2 linked regions of the Caenorhabditis elegans genome follow. The protein of the gene in region 2 interacts with the protein of the main gene of each other region in a pairwise test. Each region holds a gene or a part of one and is shown on either strand. Other genes may lie near its edges.

Region 1 (5,008 bases), on a different chromosome or scaffold from region 2:
GAACTTTTCTAATTCAAATTTAAATTGTCTATCATAGTGTATACATGAAATTATCAAAATATGCATATATTGCCATTTCTTCACTTTTTTGCTCCCAGGTTTCCTGTGCTTTAAAGATTTCCCACTTAAATTTATATTGAGAATTGTTCTTGTTCTTCGACTTTCATCTATGCAAAAAATGTTACCGATCAAAGTTTCTTCAAAATTATCACCACAAAAATATGCATTATCAGACCATTTCCCTTTTCCGCAAAAGTTCAAAAAAATTCACTTAAATAGGTTCGTATCATAATCATTGAAACAAATACAGTGATTTGTAGCCTCCTATTTATTTTTTTTATTCAATTCCTGAAATTTGCAGAAGTTTCCAACACTTTCATCACAATGTCTACAATTTCTGATAAATTATCAACGGATCAAAATTATTTTTCAATGCCAACAGCGCCTAAACCAACGAAGCTTTGTGGATATTTTGGTGTTCATAAAAGTTAGTTTGAGAAGTTTTTATTAATTAATTCGAGAGAAAGTGGGATTATTTTCTAGGTTCCCACACGCCTACCTATGCCTGCCTACTTTTTCATATCTTATGTACTTATTTTGTTCTCACAGTGTTAATTTACACAATTATCTTTATTTTATCATCTTATTTGATGAAAGTTAAATTAACAAATGAAAGAAACAACGTTTGCGTGTACAGAAGGCGCGCGAGGTGAAGGCAGGCAGGCATTATTTCTCTCTTTTTTATTTGATTTTTGACACATTAAAGCTTATCTCTTAATAATAGAAAAATTGAAAACAAAAATAACATGAGAATCATTATAAAATTGTTTACATTTTTGTTTTGTTTGTTTTACAAGTGTTATCAAACCTAAAAATACTGATCACAAAATAAATAACAAGGCTATTTTTTTCGATGGATTATTTATTTATAAAAAACAGGGTAACAAGAATGTTAAGGGAGTCGATGAAAAATTTATATTAAAAAATATGTTTTCAGTTGCAATATTTGGAATCAGTTTCAATGCAATTTTCTTATTTGCATTTTACGTTTATGGATTAATAAGATTGATTCAAAAAACACCGAAGAATTATGTTGAATTTATTGGTACAGTTAAATAAATTTAATCTGAATTATTTAGAAATATGGATTTTTCAGTAATCTGCTCCATACTTATCACCATGATCCTCACCTTCAGTTTAATGTTTATTATGGCAGTTTTCCGTGCGAGACCCAAATTTTTACTACCATATATGGTTTTGAATACGATTCTGTTTTTTGCATATGCTGGTGAGCGAAGTTTTTTTTTCGGTGTGGTTTTAATCAGTTTCGCAAATATTGAGAGATTGTGAACCGGACGACCAAATTTGACAGTTTTTAATTGGAAAAAGAGAGATTACAGGAGCGGTAATCGGATCGACAATCACAGTTCCTGATGAAATTAGAGAAGAGGTTAATGGACAAGATCGGAGTTATAAAATTGTTGATATTATTTTATTAAGGTGGGATTTTGAAAAAAAAAGGAAACCTAGGGTATACTATTTTATCAATTTCAGAGTTGCATTGCTGGTATTTGGTGCATTTGAAATATTCTTCATCTATTCGTATATTTGGACGTATATTGATGTTCGAAGGTTGTACCTTTTCAATCGAAGATGAACTTGAAGTTTCTAATTGATATTTTCAACCATTCATTTTTTTTAAAGATTCCTGATTTTTCACACGGGTTTGTCGCTATAATTTTTTGATTGTAAAAAATAAATATGTTTTTTTTTAACTTAAATTAGTGCATAAATTGTTTGATTATAATAACATATCAGTTCACTACAAGCAGTTATAGGCGTGAAAACTTTTGGCCTACAGTACTCCTAAAAGACGCACATCATTTTAAATCGCACACGTGAAAACAGTGCGACCGTAGTTTATGCCCCCGCGTAATATGAAGGAACCATTTTTCAGGCTTTTCTTGAGTATTCCTTGTTTCAAATATTACTTTTCGGCCGGAAATTCTGACATATTTATATTAAAAACTTTTTTTTAAACTTTTTTATTGTGCACCGGCGCCAAAATGTGATATTTTCTCATAAATGCCATTCGTATCTGTTTTGTTCGCACTCAAGTATTGTTTTATGTAACGTGTTTTTGTTTTTCAGTAGGATCATTTGATTTTCTTTTTCAGAACTTACAGCTCGCAACATCTTCCGGAAATCGAGTATCTCCGGTGTTGATTGTTAAGCATTCCCTGCACCCGATTACTTACACTATTCACATCCACTCAACTGCATCAATATGAACGTTAACGGTGAAAACAACGAGAAGATCGATGAGTGAGTTTAACAAAATTCAAATGAAAAAGTAATTTTATGTTATTAAAGGCATCATCTCGAGAGCTCCCTCGCTGGCGTTCCAACTTTGCCCGTTTCACCACTCGATCACGCTAAGGACTTGTCTCAAACTAATCCGAATGCCCAGATTGGAGATTTGGTTACTCAAACTGCTAACTTGATTGCTATCAAAAAGCAGTTGCTTGAAGATATTGCATTGTGCGTTGGCTAATTTCCTGAATATCTTCAATTTACTACATTTCAGCAACCAACATATTCAATCGATGCAAGTTCGCGCGATTCAGAGTTTTCCCCAGAACAACCAGGTTGCACCTCCATTTCAACAGTTTGATCCTAGACGCCGCGGATTAGCCCGAATGCAGAAACCAGAATCATACAAGACTGTGATCTGCCAAGCTTGGCTCGAATCTAAGACTTGTTCTTTCGCAGACAACTGCCGGTTTGCACATGGAGAGGAGGAACTTCGTCCAACATTGTAAGAATGAAGCAAACAAATTATGTTAATTCCAATTTTTAGCGTCGAGCCGCTGCAGAACAATAAGTATAAAACGAAACTCTGTGACAAATATACGACTACAGGACTCTGCCCATACGGGAAACGGTGCCTTTTCATTCATCCCGATCATGGACCAAACGCATACATTCGCGCTGATAAACTTCTTGAAGTCAGAAGAAAACATGTATTTTTGCTCACTGTAAACATTTTCAGGTTTCTCAACGCCATGCATTGGCTGACATTCGTGATCAAATGGAGCAGCACATCATGACTAATGGTCGCATTGCAGCTCCCCCGCTTTCTGCCATTCAGCATCCTTTAGAAATGTTTGCCAGGCCATCAACTCCAGATGAGCCAGCGGCTAAATTGCCACTAGGACCAACTCCTGTTAGTACTCGTGGTCCAAGATATGAGCTACCAACGAAGGAATTGCATGACGCGGAAGGTAAAAATTGGCAGCTAGTTGCAATTAATGACCTCTGTTTTAGGTGCGATGACCTATCCACCGTCTCGCTGGCCATTGGATCCATCGATGTTTGCTCTAGACGCTTGGAATATGGCACATCGGCCAGCTAGTCCACTCGATTCGATGGTTTTGGGTTCCGCTCCAAATGCTGGCTCGTTCGGAATGCTCGGAAAGCAAAATACTCCTGGAGGAGTTTCTGGATATTCATCTGCTGGATCCACGCCTTCTCAGGATCTCAGTTCTTCGTCACTCAATGCAGCATCCGCAGCTGCCGCTGCTGCATATTTCGCAAATTCTGCTGTTGCTCAATCTCTTCTGATGAAATCTGTCGCAACTGATCCAATGATGTCATGTAACGGACCATTCTCTCCAATGCCAGGATTCGATCAATTGGCCGAAAATATGACCAAGCATCTCAATTTGTGGTGAACAACTTCTCTACATTTGTCAAATTTTTAAACACTTTCAATATTCGTGTCCCCCATACTAACTAATAATGCGTGCATTTGTGAATATAATAAGTTTTAGTCGACGTGTTCTTGTCCCATAGAAACTTGGCCCAATCGTCAAAAGCGCCCATTCCCATTTTAAATTCTCGAAATTAATATCGAATCTTGTGATGTATATTGTAATTCATCGAATCATTGAATGTATTCCAATTTTCACCGCTCGAGTTCCCGATTGCCTTCTGTCTCACTAATCCCTTCCCCAATCTCAAAATAAATTGCACCTGCCACGGATCATAATTGTGATTCTTTTTTTCTATCTTTCTTTCTTCTCAATGGCTCCGATACTGCCCGTACGTATTTTTCTTTCGTTTCTTTGTTCATTTAAAATTTTTATCCGAAATTTCCTTCTTGATCCTCATTGCAGGATGTAGTAAATTTTTTTGATCGATTCAATTTTCAAATTTATTGAAAATCAGGTTATATGTTCCAACACGAAAACTATCTAAGTACGTACCATGAAAAAGCAAAATAATATTGCAATTCAAGTTAGCTTTGTTCTCAATATGAGAACATTACGGTTTTAAAGACTTTATATGCATGCATGTTAATTAGTTTTTTCCCAACCGTTTAACCGATAATAATACATTTATTTTTTTAAATTTTAAGCTTCGCGTTCTTGACTAGGTCATAAATTGTCGATATTTATAAAACTGTTAATTGTGGGTAAGCTTGATCAATCACTTGATTAAATCAAAAGTGTCTAGGCTCTATTCAAAATATGCGCCAGTCAACACTATTTGCGCATTTTCAGTGCGTTTGCGCTTATTCTGTTGAACACTTGCTTTACAAACTCGCCCTGCCTTTTGTTGTTCTACTAAACAAGCTCTCTTTGCCGTTAATCTTCAATTTTTTCAGTTAAAATATGAGCGAAGAGCCGGCTGCAAAGCGAATGAAAAATGCCGATGAGTTCCCAAATCTCCGATCCGAAGTAGCTGGTCCCGTGAAGGAAAAGCTAATCGAACTAGACGCCATTCAGCACCAACTAGATGTGATGAGTGAAAACGCTGCCGAAGAAGTTTTGAAAGTCGAGCAGATTTTCAATCAGAAACGTCTTCCGATTTATGAAAAAAGAAAGAAGCTGACAACAAAAATCGACAATTTCTGGCAGACTGCTTTTCTCAATCATCATCTTCTTTCAACTGCTATTCCGGAAGAACAAGAGGACTTGTTAGCCGCTCTGCGAGATCTTGAAGT
Region 2 (6,066 bases):
CTCAAAATTGTGAGAAAAATTGCGGAAAATCCATATATTACTGACAGCTGAAAATATTTTTAAATAAAGGGAAATTTTTAATTTTTTTTGCTCAATTTTGTGGAACTCGGATATATTATGACAATATACTCCGGAAAATGGAATTTCAAAGCCGAAAAATTGAAAAAATCACCAAAAACAGCTTGAAATTGTTAGAAACTTGATAATTTTCGCTATCAAAAATGGAATTTTAAAGAAATTGACTAGAAATAGCCAAAAAATTTGGAAATTTTGAATTTTTTTCATGGAATTTCTACACAATTTCTTGAAAAATGTAATTCAACGGATTTTTTGCAATTTTTTATGTTAAATTCAAGTTTTTCGCTGCTTTTCAACTCAAATTTTCCTGTTTTTCGATGATTTTTTTTTTGTCGATTTTAATTTTTTTGCACATAAAACCGAACCATTTCGAACAGCATTCCTCAATGCCGGAAGAGTATTCTGAAGGAATGGTAAAAGATGCGGTTGAGCCTGAGATTTGAGCACTTGTTGCAGATTTCGTGTAAACTCTTCAGCCGTCGTTTCCAGATAAATTACGCCCTGAAATATCCGAATTTGTCCGGTTTTTATCGCGTTTTTCGCTCAATTCCTCACTCGAATTAGCTCTTTGACACGGGCGGCCTTGTCCGGCATTTCTGGATCATCGTTATTCGACAGATTAATTAAAGTTTTCAGAAAGCGGACGCATTTTGTCACGTTTTTGTCATCTGAAGCAGCGGCGGCCGCCGCTGCAGAGTTTTGTGGAGTCCCGGGCGGCCCTTGTGGAGCCATTGGCGATGGTGACTGAAAATGCTGCATCTGCTGTTGTATAGGTTGACGAGGCGGCTGCATTTGATGGTTTTGAGCCTCTGAAAATTGGGATTCAAATTTTTTTTCTAACTTTTTTAAATTTTTAAATATTTACGGGGTGCTTCCACGGGTTCCGGAGCCATTTGATGAGCATCTTGGTAGTCGACTTCCTGCTTTATTTGCGGAGGGGCCTGGAATCAAAGGAATAAATTATTGTTAGTTCTTTTTGTTGTTGTAGAAATTTTGAAATAAAAAAAAACAATTACCGGCTCTGGTGTGCTGACTCCTGGCGTTGATCGCTCGCCGATCGCCTTTCCCTGAACGAGTCGAAATCTGGGAAGACTCATGTGTGCTGAAAATGATATTTCTCTCTCAGAAATGTGACAAGGTTTTGAGTTTTCGTGTCGATAATTTCGACGCCATAAAAGAAGAGTTCATACAAAATCGATAATTCCCAGGGTTCAACAGTGTGTTTCCTTGCTATTCCTCCCCACTTTCTTTTGTTTTATTCACATTTTCACATTAAATAGCTAAATTTCCGCAAAATTAGCGGAAAACCCCCTCCGCAACACAGTTTCATTTGAAAATTTACCGGAAAATAGCGGAAAATGGTCGCCTTTTATACTGCCAAGAGTGACCGTACTTTCGGTCGTGGCGAGACCCATGCCGCATGTTTGGAGGGGTGCGTTGCGGCTCGCGTCGCGGTCGCCCGCATTTTCAACTGCGGGAATTTGCGAGATTTGAACGCGATTCTAGTCTAGCTTGCGGTGATTTTTCAATTTTTTAATGATTTTTCAGCGTAAGAACTTTTGAGTTTAGTGGAAATATTGATTTTTGTGATATCACACTCTGAAATACCCAAATTTTCAGTCAATGTATTGTTACATTTCGAAATTTTTATTCAATCTAGTAACAAGCCTACACTTTATCATCGCTAAATAGGATTCTCCATTGTATAGCAGTTCATTCGAATTCCATTTCAAAATTATTGTAAAATGTAGGGGTTTTCTTCTCTAGAATATCCTCCAAAGTTCAACGTGATGTATTGCTGAAATATTTCTTCATCCTAACATGTTCGTTAGAGTCTTCTGTGCGAGGCTTTTCTTTTGATAATGTTTTTTTGATCTGGAAGGTTCCATATTTCGTTCTTTTCCTACTTTTGTCATCTATTTGACCTTCCTTTCATTCAACCTTCCTTTGATAGTTGTATTCTCGTGATTCTCATTCCATTCTTGCGTTCACATGACTGACCCTTTTTATTTATAATTTGTTTTCAGAATGGGTATTAAAGGCGACAAAAAAGCTACCAGCGATCAAGCGCGACTTGCACGACTCACACTGGAAGGAAATTCCGGAAATGAGGAGGACATACAGTTTATGATCAAGACGGTAAGTCTCCAAGCTGGAAATGACGCTTTCCTGAAAATAGTGATCTTTGCATCACGCGAACGCTCGCCACACACCGACATGATGACGCACGTGACTTTGTTGTTTTGAACTTCTCTAGTGTCCGCTTTCAGTGTCAATAGGAATTTCGAATCGATAAGACGGGGCCAGATGGCAAATAAAAGGACAAAAGCAGGTGTCCGCGCTTGAGATGGTGCAGCGAGAGTAAGAGTACCCAGATGTCCTACTCATTTGGGCTAATTAAAGTGTTCGCGCATTCCCAAGAGGGGTTTTTTCACTGCTCATGTCTTTTTCATTTTCAGATTATCGAAACCACCGGATGTACACAAGCACAAGCTGAGATAGCGCTATTGGATACTGACAACAATCTTTACGGCGCAATCGATCACATTCTGGATGCTGGAGATAAACTTGACTCGTGGACTGAACAGAAAGGAGCCAAAAAGGAAAAGAAGAAGCCGGAAGAGGGCAGTTATAACAACAGAGGATTTGTAGCAAGAGGCAGAGGTTCGTGCTTGATTGAAATAGATCAAATATTGATATGTTTTTTTCAGGTGGAGGCACCGGTTTCGTCGATCGAGGAGGCCGCGGGCGATCCAATGGAGCTCCAAGAGAAAGCCGAGATAATAATCGGGATAACCGTGATAATAAGGAAGGAGCAGCACCACGCTCGACTCGAGGAGGATTTGAAAAACCGTATGTTGGACGAGGTGGAAGAGGTGGCGCCAGAGGTGGATATTCTCGAGCTGTTGCTCCATCATCAGCACTTGAGCCAGATGCGTTCACTGCTGATCTTGATGAGGTAAGAATTTTTTGAAGAAGGAAAATGACGAAACGTGTTTTTTTTTCAGAATCAGACTAAAGTGGATACCACAGTCACCGAAGTTCAACCACCAGTAGAGGAATCCGTCACCGCCACTGTTCCCACATCTTCTGCGCCGGCACCGATCTCATTTGCTGCAGTAGCAGCAGCTGCCCATCGCAAAGAAGCACTCCGAAAGCACCAGGCACAGAATCCTCAACCAGCAGCTCCGCCAAGGAGGAGTCTCTCCCCACAACCTCCACTTCCGTCAGTTGCACCAGTTAAAGAAGAGCCAGCAGCAGCGCCAGTATTTTTCGAGCCAGAAACTTCGCATCAGCCGGAGAAAGAAGATGGTTTCTTCCAAAAGTAAGTTGTTCTGTCCCTGTATTTAGATTATTAAAAATTTAATTTTCAGTGAATCATCAGTTTTGGCTGAGGAGCAGACGCCTAATGTGTCGACTCATCACGATGAAAATGTACAAAGCACCCCAGAACCAAATCAAGCATGGACCACTCAACTGAAGACGGATCTTGGAATAGGATTGAGTGAAGCACCAGGACTAGGATTATCTCCAATTCCAAGTGCAGCACCAGTCCAGATTATTCCTGATCCTGGAGTGGAATTTGTTGGCACAACTGCACCAACGAACATTCATGACTACTCATTTGGATTTGTTGAGGCTGCTCCAAGCCCACAGCTTCCTTCTACTGAATCCTCCGCTGCCTCGATCTCAAATGCCAGTGAAAATATATTTAACTCTTCTCGTATTATGCCGAAACAAGTTGAGGTGAGTTAAATTTGTTGCAAAGACGATTTATTCTAATTCTCGATTATTTTTCAGCCAGAAAGGACGTCAATTCCTAACGGCGATTACAACTTAAAATCGACTTCACCTCCATTGTCATATGGTCAATCTAACAGAGGATTGTCCTATGACACTTCGTCCGCTTCATATCAACCAACGGACAGGATGGCGCCGAACAAGTTCAACAATTCTGGACCACTTCCAACACAGCAATCTGCTCAGCAGCACCAGCCACAGCAGCAGCAGCAACAAGCCCCACAACAGCCAGTGCAGCAGCAGCAACAAACTCCACCAGCTCAATCACAACCGACTGGACATCCACAACAGCATCCACATATGATGTTCACTCAACAACTCCCATATGCACCATACATGAACAACTACATGAACATGTACAATCCAATGCCAGGAGTTCGAGATGAGCAATATACTGCTGCTCTTATGCAATACGGAATGGGAGTTGATCTTACAAGCTTGCTTCCAACTGCTCCTCTGTCACAGGCTGCTTCTGCGCAACAAGTGCAATCTGGTCAACAACGAGAGACTCATGGACTTATGGACTTCAATAAGTTCGGATCTCAAAGCTCTCGGGATCAGCAGCCACAGCAGGCGTCGAATGTTGGACCACCACCAGGGTTCCAGGCGACGAACTACATGCAGCAGCCAAACTTGTCGTCGTTGTTCATGCAGCAGTACTCACCTGCTCCACACCAGTTTACTCCATTCATGAACATGATGCCCAATGTTGGAAGCAGCGCTGGAGGTCGTCAACTCTACGGACAGGATGACGAGCGCAAGAGTTACGACAAGATGTCTGGATCGAAGCCGGCAGCTCAGCAGAATCAACATTCTCAATACCAACACAATGGTGGAAATCTTGGAAAATATGGCATGAATAAGCCGTACAACTGGAGTAACTAACCGGTTTTCGAAAGTTCTCAGTCAGCGACTTTGCTCCCCCTCCCTCTCCCCTCTAAATAATAAAATGATCTGTTTTATTTTCACATGTTCTTTATTTTCTACGGATTTCCAAATAAATGTACCTGATGTCTAGGTGTATCTATAAATATGCCTCCTCATCGGGCTTTCAGCGTAATGTCATGTGCACTTGTAATCGGGGCAACGTCCACACTGGGTAAAGCCGTCGTGAGAAGACTCGCGTTCACCGGCTACAAGGTCGCCGCCGCCGCAGACTGTCCGAATAGTGTGGGAAAGGTTGCAGAGGACAATATAAAGGTTTAGGCAGATTTTCAGAACTTGACAAAGAGAAATTCGGGAATAAATTCAGGTTGGAGGTGACGTCACAGCTTTCTCATTAGACGTGGCAAATGCCGAGCACAGGAAGGAGCTGATCACGAAAGTGGCTGAGAAGCTCGGCGGTCTGGACACTTTAATTATAGTTCCACCACAGAATGAGGTGCTCGGCGAGATTATTGAGACATCCGGCGAGGATTTTGATAAGGTTCGAGAGTGCTGAAATTTGAATTCCACGTGGAAAATTGACCTCGAAAAACCAATTTCAGCTTTTCGCCAACAATCTGACAACACCGTTCCGTCTTTCGCAAGCCGCTATGTCGACGCTCGCCAAATCTCAGTCAGTTTTTGGGTCTCGCCGCGAAAATTTCAGATATTATTTTTTGCTGGTAGAAATTCGAAAAATTCAAACTGTCTTGAAAGCCTATTTTACCGATAGAATCAAAATTATGTTTCTAGATTTTCGTGCCTGACTCATGCCTGCCTACCTAAACCACGAAAAAAGGGAAAAATAGGTAGATAGGCAAGTAGGCATGAAATCGTGCCTACCCTAGAGATCATGCAACTTGAAAAAATTGTAGTAAAACAAAAAAAGGATTTTCAAGAATGTTAATTTTTTGCTCACAAAAATGCCGAGAATAGGCGGTAGGTAGGTAGGCACGTAGGCATGAAGTCGGTGCCTACCCTAGAAATCACAAAATTTGGAAAAAAAATTCAGAAAACAAAAATAATAGTGTTTTCATAAATATGATTTTTTGCACGAGAAAAAATGCCGAAAATAGGAGGTAGGTAGGTAGGTACGGTAGGCATGGAGTCGTGCCTACCCAAAAAAATCGTAGAAAACAGGAGAAAAAGCTAATTTGATCTCTTTTTGCTCACAAAAAATGCCGAAAATAGGCGGTAGGTAGGTAGGCACAGTAGGTGGGAAGTCGTGCCTATCCGAAAAATCTTGAAATTTGGAAAAAATCG

What was found. The genes of interacting proteins can lie anywhere in the genome.
Region 1: the proteins of pqn-59 (region 2) and oma-1 interact in a two-hybrid assay, tested with the Caenorhabditis elegans proteins (one study listed by BioGRID).

The regions. Positions count from the first base shown.
Region 1 is NC_003282.8:8,886,799-8,891,806, forward strand, and holds oma-1 (CCCH-type zinc finger protein oma-1), read left to right. Parts: upstream 1-2,177; 5' UTR 2,178-2,287; coding exon 2,288-2,325; intron 2,326-2,373; coding exon 2,374-2,541; intron 2,542-2,587; coding exon 2,588-2,818; intron 2,819-2,860; coding exon 2,861-3,008; intron 3,009-3,052; coding exon 3,053-3,284; intron 3,285-3,327; coding exon 3,328-3,734; 3' UTR 3,735-4,201; downstream 4,202-5,008. Other genes in the region: C09G9.5 (MARVEL domain-containing protein), read left to right, coding at 362-487, 998-1,105, 1,157-1,288, 1,401-1,500, 1,555-1,657; spr-2 (Suppressor of presenilin-2), read left to right, coding at 4,677-5,008. UniProt on the Caenorhabditis elegans protein: Zinc-finger RNA-binding protein that binds to 5'-UA[AU]-3' motifs in the 3'-UTR of maternal mRNAs to suppress translation in oocytes and embryos.
Region 2 is NC_003279.8:377,942-384,007, reverse strand, and holds pqn-59 (Prion-like (glutamine/asparagine-rich) domain bearing protein pqn-59), read left to right. Parts: upstream 1-2,105; 5' UTR 2,106-2,106; coding exon 2,107-2,217; intron 2,218-2,537; coding exon 2,538-2,742; intron 2,743-2,789; coding exon 2,790-3,037; intron 3,038-3,086; coding exon 3,087-3,403; intron 3,404-3,452; coding exon 3,453-3,825; intron 3,826-3,879; coding exon 3,880-4,764; 3' UTR 4,765-4,937; downstream 4,938-6,066. Other genes in the region: taf-4 (Transcription initiation factor TFIID subunit 4), read right to left, coding at 444-579, 634-887, 944-1,019, 1,095-1,175; R119.3 (DeHydrogenases, Short chain), read left to right, coding at 4,939-5,079, 5,132-5,305, 5,367-5,437. UniProt on the Caenorhabditis elegans protein: Antagonises the activities of multiple heterochronic microRNAs such as lin-4 and let-7 miRNAs. Modulates gene expression and cell fate specification during development. Plays a role in, but not strictly required for, the formation of stress granules.